Macaca fascicularis: one gene and its partners. The protein of the gene in region 6 interacts with the protein of the main gene of each other region in a biochemical or structural test. Links are inferred from orthologs where the notes say so. Each region holds a gene or a part of one and is shown on either strand. Other genes may lie near its edges. The genes, in order: SCEL, CIMIP4, BAG5, NEK1, BAG1, LRRK1 and CKAP2.

The links.
Region 1: the proteins of LRRK1 (region 6) and SCEL form a complex in vitro, tested with the Homo sapiens proteins (2 studies listed by BioGRID and IntAct, with this or other methods). The link is inferred for Macaca fascicularis from reciprocal best matches to the Homo sapiens genes LRRK1 and SCEL.
Region 2: the proteins of LRRK1 (region 6) and CIMIP4 form a complex in vitro, tested with the Homo sapiens proteins (2 studies listed by BioGRID and IntAct, with this or other methods). The link is inferred for Macaca fascicularis from reciprocal best matches to the Homo sapiens genes LRRK1 and CIMIP4.
Region 3: the proteins of LRRK1 (region 6) and BAG5 form a complex in vitro, tested with the Homo sapiens proteins (2 studies listed by BioGRID and IntAct, with this or other methods). The link is inferred for Macaca fascicularis from reciprocal best matches to the Homo sapiens genes LRRK1 and BAG5.
Region 4: the proteins of LRRK1 (region 6) and NEK1 form a complex in vitro, tested with the Homo sapiens proteins (2 studies listed by BioGRID and IntAct, with this or other methods). The link is inferred for Macaca fascicularis from reciprocal best matches to the Homo sapiens genes LRRK1 and NEK1.
Region 5: the proteins of LRRK1 (region 6) and BAG1 form a complex in vitro, tested with the Homo sapiens proteins (2 studies listed by BioGRID and IntAct, with this or other methods). The link is inferred for Macaca fascicularis from reciprocal best matches to the Homo sapiens genes LRRK1 and BAG1.
Region 7: the proteins of LRRK1 (region 6) and CKAP2 form a complex in vitro, tested with the Homo sapiens proteins (2 studies listed by BioGRID and IntAct, with this or other methods). The link is inferred for Macaca fascicularis from reciprocal best matches to the Homo sapiens genes LRRK1 and CKAP2.

The regions. Positions count from the first base shown.
Region 1 is NC_088391.1:68,554,728-68,559,274, forward strand, and holds the start of SCEL (sciellin), read left to right. Parts: upstream 1-1,377; 5' UTR 1,378-1,496; intron 1,497-4,547. UniProt on the Homo sapiens protein: May function in the assembly or regulation of proteins in the cornified envelope. The LIM domain may be involved in homotypic or heterotypic associations and may function to localize sciellin to the cornified envelope.
Region 2 is NC_088384.1:14,674,605-14,678,510, forward strand, and holds part of CIMIP4 (ciliary microtubule inner protein 4), read left to right. Parts: intron 1-787; coding exon 788-932; intron 933-3,906.
Region 3 is NC_088381.1:171,733,189-171,737,760, reverse strand, and holds the start of BAG5 (BAG family molecular chaperone regulator 5), read left to right. Parts: upstream 1-1,507; 5' UTR 1,508-2,164; coding exon 2,165-2,262; intron 2,263-2,971; coding exon 2,972-4,343; 3' UTR 4,344-4,572. Other genes in the region: COA8 (cytochrome c oxidase assembly factor 8), read right to left, coding at 1,035-1,157. UniProt on the Homo sapiens protein: Co-chaperone for HSP/HSP70 proteins. It functions as a nucleotide-exchange factor promoting the release of ADP from HSP70, thereby activating HSP70-mediated protein refolding.
Region 4 is NC_088379.1:174,218,093-174,221,998, reverse strand, and holds part of NEK1 (serine/threonine-protein kinase Nek1), read left to right. Parts: intron 1-1,575; coding exon 1,576-1,784; intron 1,785-3,083; coding exon 3,084-3,214; intron 3,215-3,377; coding exon 3,378-3,510; intron 3,511-3,906. UniProt on the Homo sapiens protein: Phosphorylates serines and threonines, but also appears to possess tyrosine kinase activity. Involved in DNA damage checkpoint control and for proper DNA damage repair.
Region 5 is NC_088389.1:65,829,528-65,833,433, forward strand, and holds the end of BAG1 (BAG family molecular chaperone regulator 1), read left to right. Parts: intron 1-1,676; coding exon 1,677-1,784; intron 1,785-2,295; coding exon of another isoform or gene 2,296-2,384; intron 2,385-2,965; coding exon 2,966-3,028; intron 3,029-3,578; coding exon 3,579-3,668; 3' UTR 3,669-3,861; downstream 3,862-3,906. UniProt on the Homo sapiens protein: Co-chaperone for HSP70 and HSC70 chaperone proteins. Acts as a nucleotide-exchange factor (NEF) promoting the release of ADP from the HSP70 and HSC70 proteins thereby triggering client/substrate protein release.
Region 6 is NC_088381.1:86,091,865-86,095,770, forward strand, and holds part of LRRK1 (leucine-rich repeat serine/threonine-protein kinase 1), read left to right. Parts: intron 1-665; coding exon 666-838; intron 839-1,938; coding exon 1,939-2,059; intron 2,060-2,304; coding exon 2,305-2,464; intron 2,465-3,615; coding exon 3,616-3,892; intron 3,893-3,906.
Region 7 is NC_088391.1:31,638,506-31,642,411, reverse strand, and holds part of CKAP2 (cytoskeleton-associated protein 2), read right to left. Parts: intron 3,803-3,906; coding exon 3,632-3,802; coding exon of another isoform or gene 3,623-3,631; intron 398-3,622; coding exon 328-397; intron 1-327. UniProt on the Homo sapiens protein: Possesses microtubule stabilizing properties. Involved in regulating aneuploidy, cell cycling, and cell death in a p53/TP53-dependent manner.

The DNA of each region.
Region 1 (4,547 bases), on a different chromosome or scaffold from region 6:
AGGGTCTCACTCTGTCACCCAGACTGGAATGCGGTGGTGTGATCACAGCTCACTGTGGCTTGGTCCTTCCATGCTCAAGAGACTCTCCTGCCTCAGCCTCCTGAGTAACTGGGAACAAATACATGCACTATCACACCCAGCTGATATTTTATTTTCAGTAGAGATGAGATCTCTCTCACTGTGTTGCCCGGTTTGTCTCAAACTTCTTGGCTCAAGTGATCTTCCCACCTTGGCCTCCCAAAGTGCAAATGAAAGCCACTGCAACTGGCCAGAAGCAGCCTTTGACATTGGGTCTACTGCTGCCCTCAGTTATGAGAGAAGTTTCAACCATCCTTTTCACATTTTTTTTTTTTTTTTTTTCTGCGAGAGTCTCACTCTGTTGTCTAGGCTAGAGTGCAGTGACATAATCTTGGCTCACTGTAACCTCCACCTCCCTGGTTCAAGTGATTCTCCTGCCTCCTCCTGCCAGAGTGGATGAATGGTTCTTCTTGACCATCTAATCACTGTCTACTAAGACTTTAAAACTCTGCATCAACATCACCTTCCAGGTTCTTCCTTCTCTCCCCTATGCGATGCCTGGCATTGAAAATTTCTGTCTATGACTTTATCATGGTATGTTACTGTTATTAAATATAGCTGGGGTTACAGGTGTGCGCCATCACACCCAGCTAATTTCTGTATTTTTAGTAGAGACAGGATTTTACCATGTTGGCCAGGCTGATCTTGAACTCCTGATCTCAGGTGATCCGCCTGCCTCCACCTCCCAAAGTTCAGGTATGAGCCACCACGCCTGGCCCTTTTTCACATTTTTTTATACATGGATAAATAAGATAGAGATTAGAATTCTTATGTGCTAGGTGTATTTTCCCTTTGATAGTTTTACAAAATATTCTAGGTGTAGAATGTTTGGAACAGACTTCTTTCGTGTTTTCTGATCCTAGGGTTCCTGGGTTTTTGAGAACTTGTTTGTCTTGAAGTTTCCTTTAAGCCATGTACTCCTTGCATGCTTGTCTGTGCCCCTGCCTTCCAGGTACTGTGGGCATATGGGGGTTCCTTCTATTGAGTTTTCAGTTTTATTTTTTGAAAGAGAATGCAAAATAGATTGGGTCCTATGCCACCTTGTCAGTGATATGGTTGTGCATATTGTTGATATCAGTTAAAGGGCAATCACAGGAGCGTATCTATATATATATATATTTGCATAACAAGGCCGTAAGTTAAAGAATTCACCAAACAAAGGCCGTAGGTTCACGAGTGAGACTGTTTTAATTGAACTGGTATTTGTACAAGGTGACACCCTGTTGCATACCACAGACCTCCTCCCTGAGTGACTCAGCCGCTGAGAAAGAAACCTCTGAACTGTTCATTAATACAGTCAGGTAGAGGTTGAGACTCCACTGAATAAACTCTAGGTTCCCATTTCTTTCAGTCAGATCCTCCCAGGGAATCACTACAGGCCGGTTAGCCAAAAAGTCCTGGTTTTCTGCTCAATAGAGGTAAGTTGAATTATACTTGCAAACAGAAATACATCTGCTGTATGTGCACAGCTTTCTCTGTGTTCCTTTCAAATGATTAAAATTAGAACTTACAGTATTATCTTTGTCTTTTCTTCCTATAAATTTTGACAGCCTCCAGCTGACTGTTAGCTCTGCTCTTCCTTGCTGTACTTTTAGGCCACATTGCATTGAACTTCTTGGCAACTTTACACATTACGGGCATCACAGAAATGAGCACCTATTTGATTTTCTGGGTGGGAGCTGTCAGCTGGTGAATCCTGCCACACAAAGGATAATAAATTATTTAAGCGAAGGGACCAGCACCTGCTGGTTTATTTTCTCAAGTGACTATACAAACATTTTTTAAAGGAACTTTCTGTTTTCATAAATGATGCTTTTAGTGAAATAGTGAACTCAAATATTGCTTTATAGTTAATAAGTCATATTTTTTCTCTACTGCTAAAAATATTGCAAGTTGTTGAGCTATGAGAGAGAGAGGTTTATTTTTATGAGGTTTTTGTCTCCACCCTATCTTCCCCAAATAAGAAAATTGCCATTTCTTACTTGAAAGTACCAAGGAGTAAAGGCAGGGTGTGGGGGCAGAATAGGGGTATATATGATCTGTGGGCATCTGGCCAACTTCTCTACAGTATATTCTGCATTCTAACCTAAGGAGTGATTAATATATATGGGGGCAATTTTCAAACTTTATTCATAGCCTAGTCCTGAAAAACCAGTTTTGGGAGACTTTTGGTAAGGATAGAAGAGTTCTTTTGTAATTAATAGTTAAGCTGACTTGTCTGGTTTGTGTTTTTTTTTTTTTTTTAATCATTTCTATTTATGATACAGAGCTGTGGAATTCAAATGCAGGGGCCACTCACAGCTTGCAAATTGCAGGTCTGTGTCCTCCAGAGAGGCGCCCCCACAGCATACTTGGCTCTATCTTTAGTACTTGAGTTCTCATGGCTTCCTATTGCTGACCAGGTCACCTGCAGTCTGAGAGGGGTTTAGGCACACCAGTGCTCAGTGCTCATTTCCCAGAGGTTTACCGAAGAATTTTATAACTTGGCTTTCAAGTGTTTATAGTAACCAGAAAACTAAAGCATAGCATGTGTGGGTAATTTTATTTTTCATAAAATGTGATTACATTTAAAACTGTCTTTCACTTCCACAGTTTATAACGTAGATATAGCCTTCCTAATATTTGCGGTGCTCCAGTGTTTAAAGTATCAGAAACATCAATTTGAGAAAACTGAGAAATGACAACAGTAAAAATTTTAGTAAAACATTCAGATGATCCTAAATGTTGGGATATGCAGAGAATGCCAACAACAGGTCAGAATTTTTATTGGAATGTTAGCTTCGTGTAAATCTTAGATCTAATTGACTGAATATTTCAACTGAAATGGAGCATAGGCCCATCTAGTCTAATGCCTGAATTTTCTAGATGAGAAAAACAAAGCATAAATGTTAAGTAACTTGTGAAGATCAGAGTAGCAGAACCAGAACATGAAGCCAAATTGCTTGTCTTTTGTCTTACTGAATTTTCTCAATATTTTTTTCAAATACTTTTTATTATAAAATATGTAGTAGCAATAAACGAACCACACTCCATCACAGACTGTGGTTATCCAGCAATATGTGGAAATATTATACTGTGTATGGTGTGACTAAGACATAATGGAAGACATAGACATATGTTTCCAACTTGTGGCTTGTGGAATCAGTGTTGCCATTTATTATATTTATGAGATTTTCATCTCAGGATCCAGTAGCCCCTCAGCAGGGAGGGGATCTGATGTATGTGTGTTAGCTGTGGTCTGTACAATCAGAACACCCTCGCCCCGAATGCCATTCTGTAGGTGATGCTTACCTGACTGCCTTCTCAGACTACCAGAATTATGATGAAATACCTGAGAGGTTCATATTCCTGGGGACTATGTAAACAAAACAAAGAATATGTTTTGAATGACTGAGCTCATACTGTGGAATGAACTAAGCAGTCAACTTAAGCAAACATTGTTTAACTGAGAGCATCCTATATGGTTCAGGCATCAACTCCCACCATTTCTTAAGAGTGAGGGGATCAAATCTTTGGCCCTGCAGTCCAAGGGAAATCTTTATTGGTTTCACTTGGCTTCACTTTCTGTCATTATCCTGCTTCTAGACCATTTGTTGATCATTTTCCATTTGCTCTGGCTAGGGACTTTGAAATAAAGATTTTTATATATTAATTGCTGCATACATAGCTGGAGTTGTTCCAAGTTCACTTCTGAATCAAAAGTCATTTTTGTTGTTGCTTTTTTTTTTTTTTGAGATGGAGTCTCGCTCTTTTTGCCAGCCTGGAGTGCAATGGCACGATCTTGGCTCACTGCAGCCTCCGCCTCCCATGTTCAAGTGATTCTCCTGCCTTAGCTTCTCGAGTAGCTGGGACTACACGTGTGCACCTGACTAATTTTTGTATTTTTAGTAGAGACGGGGTTTCACCATATTGGCCAGGCTGGTCTCGAACTCCTGACCTCAGGTGATATACACGCCTCGGCCTCCCAAAGTGCTGGGATTACAGGCATAACCAATGCACCTGGCCTTAATCAAAAGTCTTTATCAGTTATATTCCTTAAGTGTTTCCAGCTTACCACTGTACAAATGGTAAACTGTGATTTTTCCACGAACTTGTGATTTTGGGGCTTGGGAGAAGCTCTTCCTTACATGGATGCTTTGCCAAATGACAGCTACATTTACTAGACTTTCATTTCATGTTGATTACTAAATTTTTTAAGGATATGAGTCATCTTTTTATTGTAATACTTAACTGGAAGAGTGAATTTTATAGCTATCTATTAAATGACAACTGGTTTGCTTCTAGATACAAGAACTGATCGTCCTGAATCCTCATTGTAATAGTATAATTGAGAGCTCTAAAAATCTAAATAATTTATTCTTTGTCTGTAGACCCAAGTTTCCCTGACTCTAAAATGTGATTACGTATCCTTCATATGAAACCTCCTGGGGAAAGACAGTGAACTATAAGCCATGTTTTTCAAATTGAGA
Region 2 (3,906 bases), on a different chromosome or scaffold from region 6:
CCCAGCCTTGGGACATGTCCTTTTTTTCTTCAGCCACCATTGTCCCTGGCTGGAATCAAGAAATCTGTGTTTTCTGCCCACCTGTAACTTATGTCACAAGTGTCATTGAGCCAGCAAGTGTCAGAGCTGGAAGCCACTTCAAAGAGCATCCAGTTCCACCCTGCCTTCACATTTTACATGTAGGGAAACTGAGGCCTAGAGCGGAGAAGAGGCTTGCCGAAGTCAGCAGCTGATATATTGCAGAATTGGAACTCAAACCCAGGTGTTCTGCCCCTGGGCCTGGGCTCAGCTTCTCTGCGTGTCAGTTTCCCTGTTGGTATGAAGAGGGAGTTGGCCTTGTTGAAAGCTAAGCACCCACCCAGAGCTGCCCTGCGTGATGCCTCAGTTGTAGGAGGCAAGCCAGGGCTCTGTGGCCTGCCAGCCATGTGAATTGGGTGATCTCGGGCCTCCAGAGGCCCGCTTTCCTCATTTATAAAATGGTGGGAAGAGTGGCACCCTATAGAGACCCCCCACCCCAGTGTTGCATGTAGCAGGTGCTTAATGCTTGGAAGAGGTTTTATGATCATTAACCTGATGCCCCCCACCCATGGCAGTGCAGCTGAGAGGGGTTGGGGCTGGGGCCTTTGTATACTCCAGCTCCCCAGCCCTGTGAACAGGTTGAGGGCTGCAGGCTGAAGGTGGGATCATGGTGGGGAGGGCAGGGTCAAGGGAGGAAGGGTTGGAGGGAGATATGGGGCTTGACACTGCTTTCCCATCCCCGGTCTGTTGTCCCTGCCTCTCTGCTCAGGCTCAAAGGGCTATTGATGAAGCCTTCGAGGGCCAGAAGAAGGCAAGCTCATGGCCCAGCAGGACCCCGAATCCTGTGGAAATCTCCTCCGTCTTCTCAGACTACTATGATCTCGGCTACAACATGCGGTCAAACTTGTTTCAAGGTCAAGTCAAAGGGGAAAAGGGTGGGACCGGGAACACCCATGGTCTCTCAGGCATGGGGCAGGGAAGGCCTTTACCCCAGGGCACATCTCCAAGGACACTTATTTCATGCCCATGTGTCCTCTATGTCAGCTTGCGAGTGCTGGGAGCATCCAGACCCCTGTCCTGGATGTGTGGATGATTCATCCCAGTTGGCAGTCAGCCCCTCACGCTCCCAGACACCTGTGGCCCCTTCCCTTCCTTTCCCTTCCCTTCCCTTCTCTTCCTTTCCTTTCCCTTCCTTTCCCTTCCTTTCCTTTCCTTTCCCATCCTTTCCCTTCCTTTCCCTCCCCTGCCCTCCCCTCCCCGCCTTCCCTTGTCTTCCCTTCCCCTCCCCTCCGCTCCCCTCCCCTCCCCTCCCTTCCCCTCCCCTCCCCTCCCCTCCCCTCCCTTCCCTTCTTGTGTTTTTTGAAGTCTCATCCTGTTGCCCAGGCTGGAGAGCAGTGGCACAGTCTTGGCTCGCTGAAATCTCCACCTCACACGCTCAAGCAAGCAATCCTCCCACCTCAGCCACAACCCTGCCCTGACAAGTAGCTGGGAGCACAGATGCATGCCACCATGCCTGGCTAATTTTTTTTTGTTTTGTTTTTTGTATTTTTGATAGAGACAAAGTTTCATCATGTTGCCCAGGCTGGTCTCAAACTCCTGGGCTCAAGTGATCCACCCACCTCGGCCTCCCAAAGTGCTGGGATTACAGGCGTGAGCCACTGTACCCTGCCCACCTCTGGTTCTTAATTTGCCAGTAGGAGGCCCAGGACTCAGTAGAAGACCCAGGACTGCTGCTCCCCACCCCCAGCCCCATCCCAGGAACCTTTGATCACAGTGACAATATCAAGTTTTTTTGGTTCAAAACTCAGCTCACTAGCTGGGTGTGACCTTAGGTGGGATCCTCAACCTCTCCAAACCTCCACTGCCTTCTCAGTACAGTGGAGATGATAATGAGAGTATGGCCCTCGCTGGGTCATTGGCAGGACTTTATGAAGTGCCACACGAAGGTGCTTGGCCAAGGCAAGTCGTGAGCACTCAGTAGCTGTCAGGCTATCATTTTTCTTCTCCAGAGCCTGGAGGTGGCGCTACCTGGGAAGACAGGAAGGGTGGGTTGGAGGATCTGACATTTACAGAGGGTTTCCATTGGGTCATTGTAGTTCTGTTTGGTTGGGATGAGGAGAGTGCTGTTAGCTCCATTTCACGGGCAGATTTCAGATCATTTGCGCTAGAACTTTTAGTAGTCTGCATTGTGTCTGGGACTCAAAGTCAGGTGTTCCTTTTGCCTCCACAGCCTCATAGTCTTTTCTTGACCACTAAGTCTCTTCCCTAGCTTTGATCCTGTTCCCAGGGTCTTCTAGATGGCTCAGATGCCCGTCACAGCACACAGGACTTCTCTCTGCCCCACATTCTGATTTGGCCTCATTGCAAAATGAGACTCTTTCTGGTGCGGCTCCTTCCTCTCTCCTCACTCCAGGCCCTCTCCAGTGTTCCCAGAGGCCTGACAAACCTCTTCCACCTGGCTCGGATCCCTGTCACCCGAGGAACCAGACACCCACTGGAAGCCTTTCTGGATTTTTCTTTGAGCTTGGAGAAGGGATGGTGCTGGGGGAGGAAAGCAAGAATACAGTTCTTTTTTTTTTTTTTTTTTTTTTTTTTGAGACGGAGTCTTGCTGTGTCACCCAGGCTGGAGTGCAATGGCCAGATCTCGGCTCACTGCAAGCTCCGCCTCCCGGGTTCACGCCATTCTCCTGCCTCAGCCTCCCGAGTAGCTGGGACTACAGGCACCTGCCACCTCGCCCGGCTAGGTTTTTTTTGTATTTTTTATTAGAGACGGGGTTTCACCGTGTTAGCCAGGATGGTCTCGATCTCCTGACCTCGTGATCCGCCCGTCTCGGCCTCCCAAAGTGCTGGGATTACAGGCTTGAGCCACCGCGCCCGGCCAAGAATACAGTTCTGCTTGCTCTCTGTTCTGGGCCTTCCAGATCCTGCCTTCCAGTTCTCTCTTTAACAAGTATCGGTCACCAAATAGCTATTCCATACAACTTTGTATGATAATGTCTACTTAAATGTAAAAGAATCTGTTTTTTAAAATGTCCATGTCCCATCATCCCACCTGGGAAGTAGAACTGTGCCAAGGATGTGCTGGAGCTCCTAGCAGCTTGAGCCAGCTCACAGGAGGCAATTGTTTCGCTGCACTGATTGGCACATAAATGCTGTCTTAAAATTGGCTATGCTAGTAGTATTTACACTCTGGAAATTGGCAAACACTACGAATCAGGGCTTCACCCTGCAGCACAGTACTGTCAGTGTGCCCATCCATCTGTCCCTCTCTGTCTCCACCCACCCGGGGTTAGCCTTTGCGCTTGCTGTTTGAGGTTGGTGAGACTGGTATGGCTGCACAAGAGTGAGGCAGAAGACATCAGAGGAAACACACTGGGTCGTGAAGCCTGCTGGAAGGTCTTTACTCGGAGTGAGATGAGAAACCAAGCCAGGGTTTTAAGCAGGAGAATGGTCCTGTTTGGCTCAGGTTAAAGGCTCACTCCAGTTGCTATGGGGAGAATGGACATAGGGAGCTGGGGCAGAAACAGGGAAACCGGTAGGAGGCAGCTGCAAAACTCCAGATGGGACAGATGATGGTGGCTTGGTCCTGGAAGCTGGGCTAGTGCACTGCACGATTCTGGAAGGCACCATTGTGCAATATAGCAGCTCAGGGAGGTAATGGTGAAGGTGGCCTGATGTAGTAGGATTCTGGATATTTGTATAAGGCAGAGAGAAGAGAATATGCTAATGAATAGATTTTGGGGTGAGATACAGGAATTAAGGTTGATTTCAACGTTTTTGACCTGAACGACTGGAAGGATGAGATGGCTATTTACTGAGTTGGAGAAGGTGCTGGGGGAGCAGGCTGAGGGACTCCTATCCTATGCTGAATCATAGAGATCATCTTTT
Region 3 (4,572 bases), about 86 Mb from region 6:
TCGCCAGGCTGGAGTGCAGCGGTGCGATCTCCACTCACTGCAACCTCCGCCTCCCGGGTTCAAGCGATTTTCCTGCCTCATCCTCCCGAGTAGCTAGCTGGGTCTATAGAGGCGCGTGCCACTACGCCCAGCTAATTTCTGTATTTTTAGCAGAGACGGGGTTTCACCATGTTGGGCAGGATGGTCTCACCTCTTGATTTCGTGATCTGCTCGCCTCGGCCTCCCAAAGTGCTAGGATTACAAGTGTGAGCCAGGGAGCCCGAACAATTTTTAATTAGCTCTTTTTTACACTTCTTTAATTATTGTTTAAACCAAGTTTTCCAGCCTCCTTCATTAGCCTGTTTGGTATTTGCATGCTTTGCTTGAATATTTTATCTCCAGCCCATTCCACACCGTTAGCCAACATTTTCATCTGACAGATGGAATCAAGGCCTAGGCCTCCTTTAAACAAAACATCCCTCCCAAAAGTATGACTTAGAAAAATTGCTTGCCACTCTTTCTTGCTACAGACATTCTTTGCGGATCTTTGGCCAGTAACATGCATATACCCACACATAGTTTGCAAATAAGAACAACTATTGAACGTGAAGTGCTACAAAAGTACGATGATAAAGTATAAAGTGTTCACCGCTTGAATAAAAGCTCTAATAATTTTAACAAAGCCAAAACACACACACACACACACACACACACACACACACACACACACACACAGACCACGAAAAAAAAATGCACGCTAAGCCAAGAGCTCTTTAAATATAAAAAATAATCATTCTCGGGAACAAATAAGACTCTTATGCTTAAAGGTTCTGGCTGTCAACAGTCTCCGGCGTGGCGGCGGCACCCTCAGTCCCATCCGACCGAGAGCCCTGACGCGGAAGCCTTGGGGCTGCGGGACTGTTCGGGATCGGACGCGAGCGCACCTGCAGAAAGGCCTGAGGCGGCTGTGCATGGCAGGCAGCTGCCCCGAGGCCCCGGTTTGTCTTTCCTTCCGGTCACCCCTCCCGGCCCAATATCCCCAGGCGCTTGCTTACGCCGCTGGGCGCCGTATCCCTGCGCTCGGCGCCGCGCTCCGGAGCGAGTTGACAGCCGCGGCAGACGAAGGAGCGGCTGAGAGCGCGGAGAAGACTCTTCTTCCCCGCCCGCAAGGCCACCATGGCCCCACGCCCCCTGGCTCCCGCGGCGCACGGCAGCATTGCGACGGCGCGAGAGGCCGCTTTACGGCAGGGTCGCGAAGCCCGAGGGAGGGCGGCGGTGCGGCCGACCGTGCGCTTTCCCCGCGGTACGACGGCCTACGGGAGCGGCGGGCGGCGCGGGCTGACCCGGGCGGCCGCTCCTTGGTCGCTGTCACTCCAAGTTGCCTTGCTGCGCCGCTGGCGGTGGGCTTGGCGCTGTCGGCGGCTAGGCGCGGACGCCGGAGGAGGTGTCCCCGGGTTTAGGGGTGTTCGGCCAGGGGCGTGGGCTGGCTGGCCCGGGCGACGGCCGGAGCTGCGGAAGTCGTGGAAGCGTCGGCGACGCATCGCGCGATGGCGCGGGCGGGACAGGTGAGCGAAGCGCGGCGTGTGGCCTTTTCCCTCCGTCGGGGGGACGAGTGGGGCCCCCCGTCCGCGCGGGGCTCCCCGCTGGACCACCTTTCTGCCAGCGCCCACCCCAGCGCGGCCTGTCGGCACAGGCCGAGCAGAGTTGGTCTCGGCGCCGTCCCCGTCCCTGGCTCGGACGCTGTCCAGGGGTGGTCGGGCCTGGTCTCTGGTGTCTCCGGCGGGGCCTTGGCTCCCCTCCTTCCCCGGCTTCCCCCGGCCGGGCCGAGGGCCCCTCGCGCGCCCATTGTGAGGTCAGGGCCTGCGGGCGCGCCCTGGCACCTAGGCCGAGACGCCCGGAGCGGCTGCTGCAGCCAGTAGCAGCCCCTTCACCGCCGGCCCCTTCACCGGCTGCCCCGCTCAGACCTAGTCGGGAGGGGCGCGAGGGATGCAGCTGGGGGCCCAGCTCCGGTGCCGCACCCCGTAAAGGGCTGATCTTCCACCTCGCCACCTCAGCCACGGGACGCCAAGATCGCAGCCAGCTCAGACCTCTTCTGGGTAAAGAGCCAAGAGGGAAGGGCGAGGCGGGGAGGAAGGAACTCGGGCCGCCTGCCCTCCGTGGCCTCCAGAACATCCACAGGGGATGGATGATGCGTTTCCATTGGTTACCCACCTTGAGCGAGCCGTTTGATAGAAACCAAGAGCTTGAAACGTGCATTAGGCGATTGTGGACTCTCAGTGGGAGGCGAGTGAATGAATTATTCAGTTACCACATTTTCGCAGGTTGTAGTTTTTTGAGACAGTGGAGCATGTTGGGGGCTGAGGAGGTGCTGGGCCTCGAAAGCCCAAGGTGGTGCCCTTCAGCGCAATCCCCGTCCCTCTTCTTTACCTGTGGGGTTTTTATCTCTTCGGGGAGACATCTGGGAGGGAAGATGTGTGAGGAGCTAAAAGGGTGGGGAGGGGAAGTGCACAAAGGGAAGAAGCGGGAACTTGGGGATATCTGAGAGCCACTGGTTTTTGTTCTACTGGTTCAGTTTATTTTGCTTAGAGTTTCTGGAAACTAGGCATAGCTGTGTGGCGGGGCGGGGTACTGTTAGTGTTCGGAAGGTTACAAGAGCTACTGTTTCACCTTGCATAAAGGTGCCCTGCCGGTTCCAAATAGTTTGTGCGGCGTACGGTGACTCACACCTTAATCCCAGCACTTTGAGAGGCGGGGGCGGGCGGATCGTCTGAGACTAGCCTGGGCAATATAGTGAGACTTGTCTCTACTAAAAATAATAACATTAGCTGGGCGTGGTGGTGTACGCCTGTAGTCCCAGCTACTGGGGAGGCTGAGGTGGGATGACTGCTCGAAAGTATGCCTTTTTAAAATGAGAATTTTAGAATGACTTAGTATACCATTAGTGTTCTGCAGAAGCCTTGTGCTGTAATAAGTTATTCTTGTCATCTTTTAGTGCTTGTGAAACTGAACACAACAAAAGTATGGATATGGGAAACCAACATCCTTCTATTAGTAGGCTTCAGGAAATCCAAAAGGAAGTAAAAAGTGTAGAACAGCAAGTTGTCGGCTTCAGTGGTCTGTCAGATGACAAGAATTACAAGAAACTGGAGAGGATTCTAACAAAACAACTTTTTGAAATAGACTCTGTAGATACTGAAGGAAAAGGAGATATTCAGCAAGCTAGGAAGAGGGCAGCACAGGAGACAGAACGTCTTCTCAAAGAGTTGGAGCAGAATGCAAACCACCCACACCGGATTGAAATACAGAACATTTTTGAGGAAGCCCAGTCCCTCGTTAGAGAGAAAATTGTGCCATTTTATAATGGAGGCAACTGCGTAACTGACGAGTTTGAAGAAGGCATCCAGGATATCATTCTGAGGCTGACACATGTTAAAACTGGAGGAAAAATCTCCTTGCGGAAAGCAAGGTATCACACTTTAACCAAAATCTGTGCGGTGCAAGAGATTATCGAAGACTGCATGAAAAAGCAGCCTTCCCTGCCGCTTTCCGAGGATGCACATCCTTCCGTGGCCAAAATCAACTTTGTGATGTGTGAGGTGAACAAGGCCCGAGGGGTCCTGATTGCACTTCTGATGGGCGTGAACAACAGTGAGACCTGCAGGCACTTATCCTGTGTGCTCTCAGGGCTGATCGCTGACCTAGATGCTCTAGATGTGTGCGGCCGGACAGAAATCAGAAATTATCGGAGGGAGGTAGTAGAAGATATCAACAAATTATTGAAGTATCTGGATTTGGAAGAGGAAGCAGACACGACTAAAGCATTTGACCTGAGACAGAATCATTCCATTTTAAAAATAGAAAAGGTCCTCACGAGAATGAGAGAAATAAAAAATGAACTTCTCCAAGCACAAAACCCTCCTGAATTGTACCTGAGCTCCAAAACAGAATTGCAGGGTTTAATTGGACAGTTGGATGAGGTAAGTCTTGAAAAAAACCCCTGCATCCGGGAAGCCAGGAGAAGAGCAGTGATCGAGGTGCAAACTCTGATCACGTATATTGACTTGAAGGAGGCCCTTGAGAAAAGAAAGCTGTTTGCTTGTGAGGAGCACCCATCCCATAAAGCCGTCTGGAACGTCCTTGGAAACTTGTCCGAGATCCAAGGAGAAGTTCTTTCATTTGATGGAAATCGAACCGATAAGAACTACATCCGGCTGGAAGAGCTGCTCACCAAGCAGCTGCTAGCCCTGGATGCTGTTGATCCGCAGGGAGAAGAGAAGTGTAAGGCTGCCAGGAAACAGGCTGTGAAGCTTGCCCAGAATATTCTCAGCTATCTCGACCTGAAATCCGATGAATGGGAGTACTAAAATACCAGAGGTCTCACTTTTGATATTGTTTTGCACTTCATATGTGCTTCTATGTATAGAGAGCTTTCAGTTCATTGATTTATACGTGCATATTTCAGTCTCAGTATTTATGATTGAAGCAAATTCTATTCAGTATCTGCTGCTTGTGATGTTGCAAGACAAATATCATTACAGCACATTAACTTTTCCATTCGGATCATTCTCTCTATGATGTGGTGTGGTTTGTTTG
Region 4 (3,906 bases), on a different chromosome or scaffold from region 6:
TAGGCTCATGCCACCACGCCTAGCCAAGTTTTTTGCAATATTTTTCTAGAGAGGTCTCGCTATGTTGCCCAGGCTGGTTTCAAACTCCTGGCCTCAAGCAGTCCTCTTGCCTCAGCCTCCCAAAGGGCTAGGATTACAGGCGTGAGCCACTGCACCCAGCCTAAATTAGTCTTGTAATTGTATGTTAAGTTAAATGCTACTAGTGGGATGAGTCAAGAGATTAGACACTATTTTCTCATTCTAATTAGATGCCTAGATTTTCTATAGCTCCTACAAGTCAAATTATAGGAGTTTGTATATATAAGTACAAAATGAAGATATTTCTACATAAAAAGATTATTTACTCTTTCTCTTAATGGAAATTATATTGACAGTCTTGCACAATAGTGTTTATATTTTAGTTCTTCAGTACATATTTGATTTGAGTCTAAACTCTTAGAAAAGCCTTAATTAGCCCTTGTGTTCTATTAAGCATTGCCTTCCTGATAGATGAAATCCTCGGCTTAGGTTCACAATCTCTTTCAGAAGTCTTCAGACATCTAAAACATCAATTAACTCCTTTAGTCTACAAACTTTTCCATTTACATTCCATGTTAGAAGAAAGAAGCAAATCACAAAAGGCAAAAAAAATTTCTGAGTATGTTCCTTGGATATTACAGAAGTGGTCAAAGGCCTAGATTTCAGTGCTCTGTCATTTACTGACTATGTGGCCTTGACCAAGTCATTTAAACACTTTGGTTCATAGTTTTCATGTCTCTAAAGTGATTTTTTATGGATAAAATTTGAGTAATAGGATAAAACTGTTTAAAAAACGAAAGTTCTATATAAATGTAAGGTATTATTTATGTGACTTATTTCATTCCAGCATCTATAATCCCATGAAAACAGAATTAATATTCTGACCAATACTTTAGAAACAAGATTCTCCAGTGAAGAATTATGATGGTTGGTATAGGGTAGTTACACAGAAAATCTATTTATTATGTATTTTAGAACATTTTTAAGAATAAGCATCTAAAGATAAGATTTCTGGTGACCATTTTATTCACTGGGTCATCCTGTTAACATGAATATATAATTTCCTAAGTATTTCTGTTTCTAAAAGTTCAAATGCCCAATGGGCATTTATATGGAAAGCCTTTTGTATAGTGTCTAGCTATTAGCCACATGGATATTTTGAAAATTACAGAATTCCATAAAAGAGAAAATAATTTACTATTATTTGTTTTAGAAAAACTTCTATAGTCTGGCCTCTTAAAATATCAAAACATTGTTTCAGAATTTAAGCAATGAGTAACATTAATAGTTATGTGATTCTCTTTGGCAAGTTGGGATCATTTAAACAAATCATCTTCTGGCTTATGTATTCCAGAATATGTGTTGTGTTCATCGTCAACTTACTGGTGAAAAACAATGTAGGTTTTTTCCAGATTTTTTGTTATCTATTAGGATTTTTAAAGTAGAAGTGCCTACATATTGAGTAAAAGTAACATTTCAGCATGAGGTAGTTTTAGTTGTTTAACTTCGTAAATTTCAGTATGTTTGAAACTTTCAGTTAAACCTTTTAAATTTCAGTGTGTTTGAAGAAACTGACACAGATTTACAAGAGCTGCAGGCCTCAATGGAACAGTTACTTAGGGAACAACCTAGTGAAGAATACAGTGAAGAAGAAGAGTCAGTCTTAAAGAACAGCGATGTGGAGCCAACTGCAAATGGGACAGATGTGGCGGATGAAGATGACAATCCCAGCAGTGAAAGTGCCCTGAACGAAGAATGGCACTCAGGTGCATAATCAGAGTTTTGGACCTTTTTCTTTTTCAGTTTACAGATATTTCAAGTGGAATATAGTTTTCTAATCTCTGCTGTGGACCATTTCCAACTTTAAATACAACTGAAGCATGCCTCTGGGTCTCTCCCATTTTTCACTCTTTTTCTTTTCATACAAATATGTGATTTTCCTTTTTTTTTTTTGAGACTGAGTCTCGCTGTGTCTCCCAGGCTGGAGTGCAGTGGTGTGATCTCGGCTCACTGCAAGCTCCGCCTCCCGGGTTCACGCCATTCTCCCGCCTCAGCCTCCCAAGTAGCTGAGACTACAGGCGCCCGCCACCACGCCCGGCTAGTTTTTTGTATTTTTAGTAGAGACGGGGTTTCACCATGTTAGCCAGGATAGTCTCGATCTCCTGACCTCGTGATCCACCCGCCTCGGCCTCCCAAAGTGCTGGGATTATAGGCTTGAGCCACCGCGCCCGGCCAATTTTCCATTTTTTTATTAAATTTTTTTTCTTTACTATTATGTCAATGCTTTTTTGAAGCATTTTTATTCTAATCTCCATTTCTTGACTGATTTTTCCAGTAATAAAGATAATAACATTGTTTTCTTGTCATTCTATATTTTAGAAAGAGCTTCTGCATATATTAATCAGCAGGGTTAACACTGAAAGCAGTTTTTAAAGTACTAAAAACTCGTTTCATAAATTTGGAAATTTGCTCTTTCATAACATTACCCCTAAGATGCATAGAAAGTGTGTCTATTTCAGTAACTATATTATGTTAATTTAGGAAGAAAAGCTAATGTGAAAAGACTAAGTAATGTTTTTTTTCAAAGTATCTTGAGCATGTACATGACAAAACATGTTGGCCATTTATACTTTCCAGGTGCTTTCCTGAAATGTAATGATGTATGTCTTAGGTTGTCTACCTTCTGCAGGCTTTTCCATGGTATGGCCCACATTTATTACCAACTTTTGTAGTTAGGGTTAGCTGCTTCAAAGCAAAATATGGAGGTGTGCTTTTTCCACTTTTTTATTCATTTAAGTAACATCTCTAGGAGTGTTTTGATTCCATCCTGACTTATTTTTTATATCTATAAAGGAAAAGTAACATTCTTGTTTAGACAGATTTATACATAATTTTTACCAAATAAAGGACAAATATTAAAATGACAAAAACCGTTTATAATGAAAGTAGAAGTAGTCTACTTCAATGGCATTATTCATTTGTCATAGAATTTTAGTCTATTAGGGTAAGAGTTATCTTATTCAGTCTTTTTAAATCAAAATATCTATTTTAATTTTATTTTTTAGATAACAGTGATGGGGAAAATGCTAGTGAATGTGAATACGATAGTGTCTTTAACCATTTAGAGGAACTGAGACTTCATCTGGAGCAGGAAATGGGCTTTGAAAAATTCTTTGAGGTTTACGAGAAAATAAAGGTAAGTGAAAAGTCAATTAAAACACTTAAAATGTGCTCTGTTTGAAGGTTAGAGAAATGTTAATGATCTTTATTGGTCATTAGATTTATTATAAATAAAAAGGGAAGTCTACAATTAGAGAAAGTTATTCAAATACTAATTTATATTTGGGAATTTGGTATAGGCTATTCATGAAGATGAAGATGAAAATATTGAAATTTGTTCAAAAATAGTTCAAAATATTTTGGGAAATGAACATCAGCATCTTTATGCCAAGATTCTTCATTTAGTCATGGCAGATGGAGCCTACCAAGAAGGTAAGATTTCCTCACATGTCTGTATAATTTTCAATAAATGTGAGAAAAACAAGATGATACATGTAGATGACTCAGCTTACATCACATCCGTTTTGTGAAATCTACATGGGAACTATATTACTTTTAAGCAATAATAATATTAACTTTGTCATATACTTTTACTGATCTGTGATATACTTTTACTGACTGAAGTCCTTTAAGTCCATATTTTTAATTTAATTTATAAGTAACCTTTGAATGAGATTTTTAAAAATCTTACTGGATAGATTGTTGGACAGCTCTAGCAATTAGAATAATCCTAGCTGGGTGCAGTGGCTCATGCTTGTGATTCCAGCGACTTGGGAGGCTTAAGTGGGAGGATGGCTTGAGGCCAGGAGTTTGAGACCATCCTGGACG
Region 5 (3,906 bases), on a different chromosome or scaffold from region 6:
GAAATAGAACAAGTAGCTTCTCTCTCTCTGGGCTGTTGTAATGTGTTTGGCAAGGCAAATGACATTTTGTTGGTTCATAGAAGGTCCAAGTTAAACATGATAGTGGGGTTGGAGGGGGTCATCCTATTCAATTCCTTATATTAGAGATGGGGTACTGAAACCCAGTAAGGATTAGGACTAGCTCAAGACCACTTATTTATTTTTCCTTCTCATTGTGTAACATTAATTGGGGTGTGTTTTGGCTTTTTTTTTTGAGATGGAGTCTCACTCTGTCACCCAGGCTGGAGTGCAGTGGTGCAATCTCAGCGGCTCCCTGCAGCCTCTGCCTCCCAGGTTCAAGCGATTCTCCTGCCTCAGCCTCCCGAGTAACTGGGATTACAGGCGCCGCCTGCCACCACATCTGTCTGATTTTTTTGTATTTTTAGTAGAGATGGGGTTTTACCATGTTGGCCAGACTGTTCTCAAACTCCTGACCTCAAGTTATCTGCCCGCCTTGGCCTCCCAAAGTGCTGGGATTATAGGTGTGAGCCACCGTGCCCGGCCTGTATGTTTGTGTTTGCCCGGCCTATATGTTTGTGTTTTAATTACAGAATACATGCTGACTGTACAAAAGTTTTAAGTGCATGTATAGGCACTAATATGGAAAATAAAAATTATCCATGAGGCCCCAACTCAGAGATAACCATTATCGAAGCCTGAAATATATTTTTCATCTTAAAAAAAATTGATATAATGTTATATACACTTTATAAACTATTTTTTTGGATAAAAAATTAAACATTTTCCTATGATGGTATTTTTCAAAGCTTGCATGCATTTCATCTTGTATAAATGTATCATTTACCTAGCCAATTCTGTATTGTTCATTTAATACTATTTTTACCATTATGTGTAATGCTTCTTTGACTATCCTTGGACATAAATCTTTTTTGACCATTCCTGGTTTTTTTAGTAGAATAAATTCTTTGAGTTGGAATTGTTGGTTGATGTTTAAAGCTCTTGCTACATGTTGTGAAATCTGTATTTGTAGCTCTTGGCTGTGATAAACATCCTCAGAGATCCCTGCTATCCAACTCTTGTCACCAGCTAACTGGTCATTAGGCCAAGCTATGTGAGTGAACCATTAGACAATTTGATAAAAATAAGCACTGCTGCCATTCGTTAGCATGTGTCTGTGCCACAGGTTAGTGACACATGTACATATATTCCCTTTACCTCACAGTAACCCTCTAGGGTGTGAGTATCATAATCTTCATTTTTAAAATGAGGGTACTGAGACATGAATAGGCTAAGTAATTTGCTCAAGATCACAAGTTAGTAAATGGCAGTCAGTTTTCAAGCCTAGGCTTTGAAGACTCTAAGCCTGTGCTTTTAACATCTGCTTCTTGTGTACAGGATACATTTGTGATTGGGGGCTTCACTGGCACCAAGCCTCAGGAGGCATTCGCAGCCACAGTGGGTCATGCGAGGTAGAGCAGACTGCAACCTGATAGAATTCTTGGACTGGCCCACGGCCAGTCTTTTAAATTTTTCCAAGAGATGAAGTTGTGGATCTGAAATGTGGCCTGGCCTGCCAGGGCTATGTTGGACTCAGTGTGATCGCTTCAGTAGTATTGTGGCATGGAGTTTTCCATCAGCCTCAAAGAACCCTTGCAGTAATGCATTATTTCCCACAGGGTTTTCTGCCCAAGGATTTACAAGCTGAAGCTCTCTGCAAACTTGATAGGAGAGTAAAAGCCACAATAGAGCAGTTTATGAAGATCTTGGAGGAGATTGACACACTGGTAAGTAAATATTCAGCTGAGAAGAACTAGTTTTGTCTTTATTTCAGTCACATTCACTCTTCCAGTAATGTACTCTCCTATTGTCTGAGCAAACCCATCACTTAAGAATATTAAGCATCTGCTTTTGTGTGCCAATCACGTTGCTTGGTCCTGGGTGAATGCACAATGATAAGACAGTTCCTGCTTTCTAGGCACTCACAGCCCTCCAGTATAGGACTTTTATCATTTATACTTATGTTTGCCAGTAGCATCTGTAATCATCATGAAGCTGGGACCCAAGGAGTCCACGATCTCATGGTCAAGGAAACAGGTTTTCACTTTCTCTGATACTCATGTGACTGATAATTCTGCAGGCCTCATTACTTATAGAGGATTCAGCCAGACCCAGATCTTGTGAGGCTGCTGAAAATCGTTAACTCAGGGGTTCTCTTTTGCAGATGATAGTAATGATATCTCTAGCCTGATGCTTCATTCTTGAAGGTGAACTGCACTGTGTGTTTCTGTTGGCCAGGGAGGGTGTAAAGAAGCAGCAGCGCCGGGCGCAGTGGCTCACGCCTGTAATCTCAGCACTTTGGGAGGCCGAGGCGGGTGGATCACAAGGTCAGGAGATCGAGACCATCCTGGCTAACACGGTGAAACCCTGTCTCTACTAAAAACATAAAAAATTAGCCGGGCGTGGTGGCAGGCGTCTGTAGTCCCAGCTACTCGGGAGGCTGAGGCAGGAGAATGGCGTGAACCCAGGAGGCGGAGCTTGCAGTGAGCCAAGATTGCACCACTGCACTCCAGCCTGGACGACAGAGCAAGACTATGTCTCAAAAAAAAAAAAAATAGCAGCAGCAGGCACTTTTCCTGTCACAATGAGCCCATGGTCTGGCCAGGGCAGAGTATCCATACATACGAAACAATAAAAAAACGAAGTCTGTGTTACAGATCAGTTCCTACGGGCCAGACGTTGAGAATACAGGGAGCTTTTATAGGGACAAGAGCCATGGGAAGGCAATATAGGATACAGACTCAGGGAAAGGGTTCCTGAAAATGGACATCTCGTTTACATTGGTGACCCGTGACCTGTTTTATATACTGTGGGTGTTTCTTATGTGTTCTCATGTCATTTTCACTGAGGATTATTTGTTACATGTTTACTATTTACTAACTTGTATTATCAACTTACTCTTCCATAGATCCTGCCAGAAAATTTCAAAGACAGTAGATTGAAAAGGAAAGGCTTGGTAAAAAAGGTTCAGGTGAGTTGTGTAATAGTGCACCACGAGGCGTAATATGTTAGTGTGTAGGTATGCATGTTTATCTCTTCAGAGTCGGTAGTATAGCAGCATGGTGTGTGGTATGGGCCTGTTTTGGTTATTACTTATTTATCAACAGGAACCCTGAACGTCAGAGAAGAGCCCCGTATGTCCCTGTAATTATATATGAATTTAAACTGTTTAGGGAGGGAACTCACTGGAGAGCAGATAGGGCTGACACGTTACACAATTCCTGGAAGCAGTATTCATGCATACATTGCTTCCTGCGATTGTTCAGGTGCTGTGCAGTGGCCTTGTGGCAAAGCTCCCTGCCTTTACCACCTTTTAGGGGATTGCTGGCCTGGAGCATGGTCAGAATGCTGGTCCTATGCTCCCTCCCTCCCCTTACCTTGGAACCCAGGCCAGTTGCCCATCTCCATTCATGCATAGTCTGTTTTGAGTCTCAGCCATGGGTTCCCCAGAATGGCTAAGCAAGTGGGCAGTGGTTGGCTATCCCTGGATGGGCCCTTACTGCCCTGTGTGTATTTTCTAGGCATTCCTAGCTGAGTGTGACGCAGTGGAGCAGAACATCTGCCAGGAGACAGAGCGGCTGCAGTCTACAAACTTTGCCCTGGCCGAGTGAGGTGTGGCAGAAAGAGGCTATGCTGCCCTGAAGAATGGCACCACCAGCTCTGCCGTCTCTGGAGCAGAATTTACCTGATTTCTTCAGGGCTGCTAGGGGCAACTGGCCATTTGCCAGTTTTCCTACTCTCACCCGGTTCTCAATGAAAAACAGTGTCTTTGTGATTTTGAATAAAGCTCCTGTCTGTTTTCTCCTTCTGTCTCTGTGGTTGTGCTGTCCAGCAATCCACCTTTTCTGG
Region 6 (3,906 bases):
TTCTCACAAGTCCAACTCAGCACCCTCTGCAGAGGAGGTCCCAGAACACCATAGACACCCCTCAATGCAACGGTCCCTCGGGGTTTACAGAGAATGAGGAGCACAGGTGCTGCCTGGGCTGACATTCCTATAGCAGTCTGTTTTGCATTACTATAAAGGAATGACTGAGACTGAGTAATTTATGAAGAAAAGAGGTTTATTTGGCTCACAGTTCCACAGACTATACAAGCATGGCTTCAGCATCTGCTTGGCTTTTGGTTAGGCCTCAGGAAGTTTTTAGTCATGGCAGAAGAGAAGGAGAGCCAGCATGTTACATGGTGAGAGAGGGAGCAGGAGAGAGAGGAGGAAGAGCCAGGCTCCTTTTCACAATCAGCTCCTCTGTGAACTGACATAGGGTGAATGCATTCATTACTGCAGGAGGGCACCAAGCCATTCATGAGGGATCTACCTCCATGACCCAACCTACCATCAGGCCTCACCTCCAACACTGGGGATCACATTTCAACATAAGATTTGGAGGAGAAAAACATCCAAACCATCTCAAGGCTGCAGATTGGTGGCTGAGCAAGGGCTGTGGCATCCGGGGTCAGCACAGCTGGGAGCTCTGTCCTGTCCCTTGTTCAGTGAACAGAGACGATACTCAGCCGTGGGGTTCTCTGTTGCAGGCCAAGGCCCCAAATGCCGTGGTGCTGGTGGTCGGGACACACCTGGATTTAATTGAAGCCAAGTTCCGTGTGGAAAGGATTGCAACGCTGCGTGCCTATGTGCTGGCGCTCTGCCGCTCCCCCTCCGGCTCCAGGGCCACAGGCTTCCCAGACATCACCTTCAAACACTTACAGTGAGTGCCCAGCCTCTAGCAGCTCCCGCCTTCATGTGGGTGCCAGTCGCTGATCCTTCCTGGGATCTGCTTACAGAGAGCTCCTGAGGCTGGGTGGGGCTAGGCCCCTTCCCTGGCCAAGGGGGGGCAGTCCACAGAGCTGACCCAGCCTTGGAGAGGGTGAAGACCTACCAGACAGCTGGCTGGGTGAGGCCTGGAGATGCCCCCTCTTTGCTTCCTTTCTGCCCTGTCCCCGCCCCAAGGGCCAGTGCTGAAACTGCATGGTGCCCATTGAACCAGGTGACTGAACATGGGCACCACCCATCCAATTGCTGCCCATCTCATTTTTTGATCACTGATCAAGGACAGACCCTGGGGAGGGAGGACCTAGCCCTTGCCTTTGGTCTGAGTGGTCCTGATAGCAGCCTTTGAGTTAAAAAAGGCCAAGAGTTGGGAGGGGCTTTCGGGTGGGCATCACGACGTGTCCATGCAGATAAGTTCAATTGCCCTGGGCTGACCTCCTGTCACTGGTTGTGGGGATTGTTTGCCACCTTGTAGATGAAGAAGCTGAGGTTCAGCAAATTGTGTGCCCTAATGGGAGTAAAATATACTGCACATTGCATTAGCTGCCCTGGCAGCTCTCAGATTCCCTCGCCCGGGGTGGAGCGTCATGGGTATTGGTGCGTGGGTCAGCCTGGGACACATTGGCCTGGCTCGGAATACGGGATGAGGCTGTCAGGAATTATTGCTTTGACCTTGAGAAAGTCCCATAGGGTCTGTGATAAGAGGAGCCCTGGCTCTGGGTCAGAACCTGAGACCAGCCTGCGTGAGCCTGTGCCTGCCCAGCTTGTGCCCTTGGGGGTCTCAATGTACCTCTGCACCTCACTTTCCTTCTCTGTGAAGTGCCATGTTTGGTCTAGGAAGACAGACTAAAGCGACAGTGTGGGGCACCCAGCACAGTGATTTGCACAAAGCAAGGCCTCAGTAAACTTCTTGTGTTGTCTTTCATGAGTTCTCCAGACTTGCCAGCATTCAGGACAAACCTCTTGGGAAAACAGAGAAGCTGCAGCACTTCCTCGGAGTGGGGCACGATGAGTAAAGACGGGTCTTTTTGCACACAGTGAGATTTCCTGCAAGAGCCTGGAAGGCCAGGAAGGGCTGCGGCAGCTGATCTTCCACGTCACGTGCAGCATGAAGGACGTGGGCAGCACCATCGGCTGCCAGCGACTGGCAGGGAGGCTGGTGGGTACCTCGCTCGTCCAGCTTAAACCAGTAGGCCTGCTTCCCATTGTTGGGGATCCTCACTTCCCCTCTCTCCTGTGAAGCCCATGTCCATGTGGCAAGGCTCAGTCGTTCTTGGTGAGGGAGGGTCAGGATGGAAGATAGTGGGTGGAAATGTCCCACCCACTCAGGCCACAGGGGCCAGGCAGGATCTGCCCCAGCTGGCGGGCATGCCTCGGGAATTGCCTCGTCCGTCTGTCCCCCAGATCCCCAGGAGCTACCTGAGTCTGCAGGAGGCCGTGCTGGCAGAGCAGCAGCGCCGCAGCCTGGACGACGACGTGCAGTACCTGACGGACAGGCAGCTGGAGCAGCTGGTGGAGCAGACGCCCGACAATGACATCAAAGACTACGAGGACCTGCAGTCGGGTGGGTGGGGCTGGGGTGGGCGGCAGGGTGCCCGTGAGAAATGGAACTGTCTGTACTTCAGCCTGGCCCTCAGCAATGAATGAGAGACCGATAATCAGCCTGTGTTTCTGTCTTCCATCCCCCTCCCCTTCCTTCTTCCCTCTCACCCTTCTTTCCTTGGAGGTAGAGAACACAAACAGCTACTCTACACCAGCATTGTGTTGGCCACAAGGGCAGACATATAAACTGATGGACTGGTCCATGCCCTCCAGGGCTGACGTTCAGTCAGGGAGACAGAGGTCAAACAGTTACAATCGATTCTCATTAGCCACAGGACTTATGTTCTGTAAAGTCACCATGATCACTGAAATAGCAAATACTAAACCAGTGCTCCTAGGAGAGACGCAGGGTTCAGCTCCTGCAAGCCTCTGGTCAGAACATTCTCATCAGCCCATCAATACAGAACCTTGTTTTATGTGTGTTGCTGCTTAAAGACACTGTACTTAATATATAGTGTTGATTTGTTGGCATTGAACTCATGGTTAACAGTACTGTTGCTCATTCCTGAACAAAACTTATCTAACACACAGGTTTTCTCCATAAGGCACATCGCAGCCTTCTCACGCTTAGGGAACTACACAGCGCTTCAGCACTTCACTTGGGACCATTTTAAACAGTGAAAGCATCAACAAAAAGCACAAAAATTCAAAAAACATGGCACTGACATAGACCACTAAGCAGGCCCCTGTTTTCAGCACGAGAGTTGAGAGTGTTGCCCTGTTCAGCCTCCGCTGGGAATGTGCACATTGGTCAATGCAAACTTTTCACCACTCAGCACATGTCTGCAAATAACCACAGGAGCATTGATTTGGGGGTCGCAGATAAATTTTAGTAAGAAGGCAAATTTGCAAAGGCGGAATCCACAAATAATGAGGATCAACTGTAGTTACCGAGGTGGCCATTAGCCTAGGACTTTGGCAAGAGTTACCAGGGGCCACCAGGGCACCTGTGATCAGGCTGCCAACCCACCTGAAGGGTCCAGCATGTGGGGCATGTTGGTTTCTTCCTAGGAAGAATTTGTGACCTGGGTCCCCTTGGAAAGTAAGGCCACCCCAGAGTCCCTTTCGCTCCTTTGTCTAACTGCTGCTTCCTCCTCTCCTTGCCTGGGGCAGCCATCAGCTTCCTCATAGAAACTGGCACCCTGCTACACTTCCCAGACACCAGCCACGGCCTGAGGAACCTCTACTTCCTCGACCCTATTTGGCTGTCCGAATGTCTGCAGAGGATCTTTAACATTAAGGGCTCCCGGTCAGTGGCCAAGAATGGGGTGATCAGAGCAGAAGACCTCAGGATGCTACTGGTGGGGACTGGCTTCACACAGCAGACGGAAGAGCAGTACTTCCAGTTCCTGGCCAAGTTTGAGATCGCCCTGCCCGTCGCCAATGACAGGTGAGGATACAACT
Region 7 (3,906 bases), on a different chromosome or scaffold from region 6:
GAGGCCATTATCCTGAGCAAACAAACACAGGAACAGAAAACTAAATACTGCATGTGGGAGTTAAGTGATGAGAACACATGGACACCTCAAGAACACACACACTGGTGCACATGGGAGGGTGGAGAAGGGAGAGGATCAGGAAAAATAATGGACACGAGGCTTAATACCTCGGTGAGGAAATAAGCTGTAAAACAACCCCCCATGACACACATTTACCTTTATAACAAACCTGCACATCCTGCACATGTATTCCTGATCTTAAAAGTTAAAAAACAACAACAACAAAACTACAATTCACTTGAAGGAAACAAAAGAACTAAAACTTACCTAAATTAGCTTTTTCTTGACTCTTCATTGTTAGAATATCTACAATCGTGTGTCGCATCTCTTCAATAGGCTTAATTTTTTAAATGAATAAAGCAGATCCATGTAAGTTTTATTTTCTCTGACATTAACTAGGTATCCAAGTTGTGATTAAAACTTCATACCGTATTTTAAAGTAAGGGAGTGGCTCTTAAACCATGCTTCTCAGACCACTTAATAATTAAGATTGAAAAACGGCTGTCTTGGCTGGGCGCGGTGGCTCATGTATGTAATCCCAGCACTTTGGAAGGCCGCAGGCGGATCATGAGGTCGAGAGATTGAGACCATCCTGGCTAACACGGTGAAACCCTGTCTCTACTAAAAATATAAAAAAATAAGCCAGGCGTGGTGGCGGGCACCTGTAGTCCCAGCTACTCGAGAGGTTGAGGCAGGAGAATGGCGTGAACCCGGGAGGCGGATGTGCAGTGAGCCAAGATTGCGCCACTGCACTCCAGCCTGGGCGACACAGCGAGACTCCATTTCAAAAAAAAAAAAAAAAAAAAGAAAGAAAAAAGAAAAATAAAAGAAAAATGGCTGTCTTTTCCAATTTATAGATTAAAAATGAAGGATAGAATTCTTTTTTTTTTGAGACAGTCTCCGTCTATCGCCAGGCTGGAATGCAGCGGGGCAATCTCGGCTCACTGCAACTTCCGCCTCCCAGGTTCAAGTGATTCTCCTGCCTCAGCCTCTCCAGTAGCTGGGACTACAGGCGCATACCACCATGCCCAGCTAATTTTTTGTATTTTTAGTAGAGACAGGGTTTCACCATGCTGGCCATGCTGGCCTTGAACTCCTGACCTCATGATTCGCCCGCCTTGGCCTCCCAAAGCGCTGGGATTACAGGTGTGAGCCACCACGCCCAGCGTAGATTTTCACATTTAACAACTTCCCCCATAATTTTACTTAAGCCGTGCTCCTTTTCTCTTACATTTAAGTCTATGGTTATATTTTTGTTTCATATGCTATGAAATGTATCTCTGAAGAGCTTAAGGTTGATCATCTTAACATATTCATTCACGAATTTATTAAGAGCCCATTATTTATCAGATATTATAAGCATTTACTATGTTCCATCCAACACAATGAAGATTAGGGAAGGTGTAATTCACATTCTTATTTCCAGAACTTAGTCCTGAATTACTCAGCTATCCTGCTTTCAGTTTTCTCGGCTTTTTTTTTTTTTTGAGACAGGGTGTTGCTCTGTCGACTCAGGATGGAGTGCAGTGGCACAATCATGGCTCACTGGTCTTGAACTCTACAGCTCAAGCAATTCTTCCACTTCAGCTTCCTGCATAGCTGTGACCACAACTGTCTACCACCAAAAAAACTTTAAATTTTTTTTTTGCAGAGATGGGGTCTCACCATCTTGCCCAGGCTGGTCTTGAACTCTTGGACTCAAACGATCCTCCCACCTCGGCCTCCCAACGTGCTGGCATTACAGCCGTGAACCATCATACCTGGCCACTAATTTTAAGAGATAGGGTCTGTGTTGCCTAAACTCCTGGGCTTATGCAATCCTCTCACCTTGGCCTCCCAAGTAGTTGGGACTATAGGTATCTACTACTGTGCCCAGCCATCTTGGCTAATTTTGATTCTTGTTTTCCAGCAGCTTCTCCTCTGGTATTGTATCTTTCCGTTTACATTATTGCTTTGTATGTGAGCCTTGGCTCCAACTTTGCATCCTTGCTACAATGTCCTTAGTTGCCTTAAGTAATGTCCCTTCTGATACAACATAGTAGGGGCCTAACACTCCTTTCCAGGTAGCATCTATCAAATATAATTACCATTCTGAAAAGAGTTTTACACATGATAGCCACTGAGAGACTATCTGCTGAATATCTGATTTTTTACTTAAGTGAAAAGTCAAATAGCATTTGTTGATTTTGTTGAGACAACGGTGAATACATCTTTCTTAAAAAAAGGAGTTTAAGCCGGGCGCGGTGGCTCAAGCCTGTAATCCCAGCACTTTGGGAGGCCGAGACGGGCGGATCATGAGGTCAGGAGATCGAGACCATCCTGGCTAACACGGTGAAACCCCGTCTCTACTAAAAAAATACAAAAAACTAGCCGGGCGAGGTGGCGGGCGCCTGTAGTCCCAGCTACTCGGGAGGCTGAGGCAGGAGGATGGCGTAAACCCGGGAGGCGGAGCTTGCAGTGAGCTGAGATCCGGCCACTGCACTCCAGCCTGGGCAACAGAGCGAGACTCCGTCTCAAAAAAAAAAAAAAAAAAAAAGGAGTTTAAAAAAATTATCTATGTAAACAATCTCTAAGAATGTGTTTCTGAGAAACCTGGATTAAAACGAAACATATTTTAAGAACATGTATCCACGAAAAAAAAAAAAAACCCAACCACACAAACTCAAGAAATGATTTATTCTACACCCAAAACTTTGTGTATCAATAGGCTGGAAGAGGTAAGGAGTATGGTATCAAACCATTATAGAGGTAATAATGTTCGAGAAACTGGTTTATTGCCATTTTCTGTATGCAGACAGGATCAATCTATACAGTGTAGATATAGCAGTACATTTGGGTTTACTTTTTTTTTCTTTCTTTTTTTTCTTTTTTTGAGACAGAGTCTTGCTCTGTCGCCCAGGCTGGAGCGCAGTGGCGCGATCTCGGCTCACTGCAAGCTCCGCCTCCCAGGTTTACGCCATTCTCTTGCCTCAGCGTCCCTAGTAGCTGGGACTACAGGCGCCCGCCACCTCGTCTAGCTAGTTTTTTCTATTTTTGTAGAGACGGGGTTTCACTGTGTAAGCCAGGATGGTCTCGATCTCCTGACCTCGTGATCCGCCCATCTCGGCCTCCCAAAGTGCTGGGATTACAGGCTTGAGCCACCGCGCCCAGCCTGGGTTTACTCTTAAAGTGAAAGAGTTCTCTCACAAAACCAAAAGAGCTTGATAACATTTAAAAAGCTAATTTCATCCCTTTTGCTTTATATTCAATAAACAAATTTTAATATTACATTCAGTCTCCCCATAAATTTTCAACCAGGAAATGCATACAATAATATGCTAAGACATTTCATGCAGAAAGTTTCACTAAATATACATTTCAGCTTATACCCACTTTCTAAAGTCTGATTATTCCCAGTACAGTAATAAAAGACTTAGAAGGCCAACAAACAGCAATCTTTGTGGCCTTTAAACATTTACAACTACTACATATACAACCACAATTTTCTCAAGCTATGTTGTGATGTGTTTCAAATTAATTCCAAATTGTCTGCTACACTGTAATCGTAAAGATCAGCAAATGTTTATCTTACCTGAGCCCCTGCCAGAATGGCTTTCTCATAGATTGCAATAATATTTTCAATAGGACTTGTGAGTGGTTCAATAAGTGCAAGACATATCCAATACTTAACAAGCTTTTTGGCATCTGGAATATTTTTAATCAGGTCATTCAGTGTGACCAGTATGTCTTCTTTTGGACATCCCTAAAAGAGCAAGAAATAATGTGTGTAATATTTTTTAGCTTACAAACTATGAACAATAATTGAGCCTACTATAGTCAAGATCAATGATAAAGATAGCCATAAGC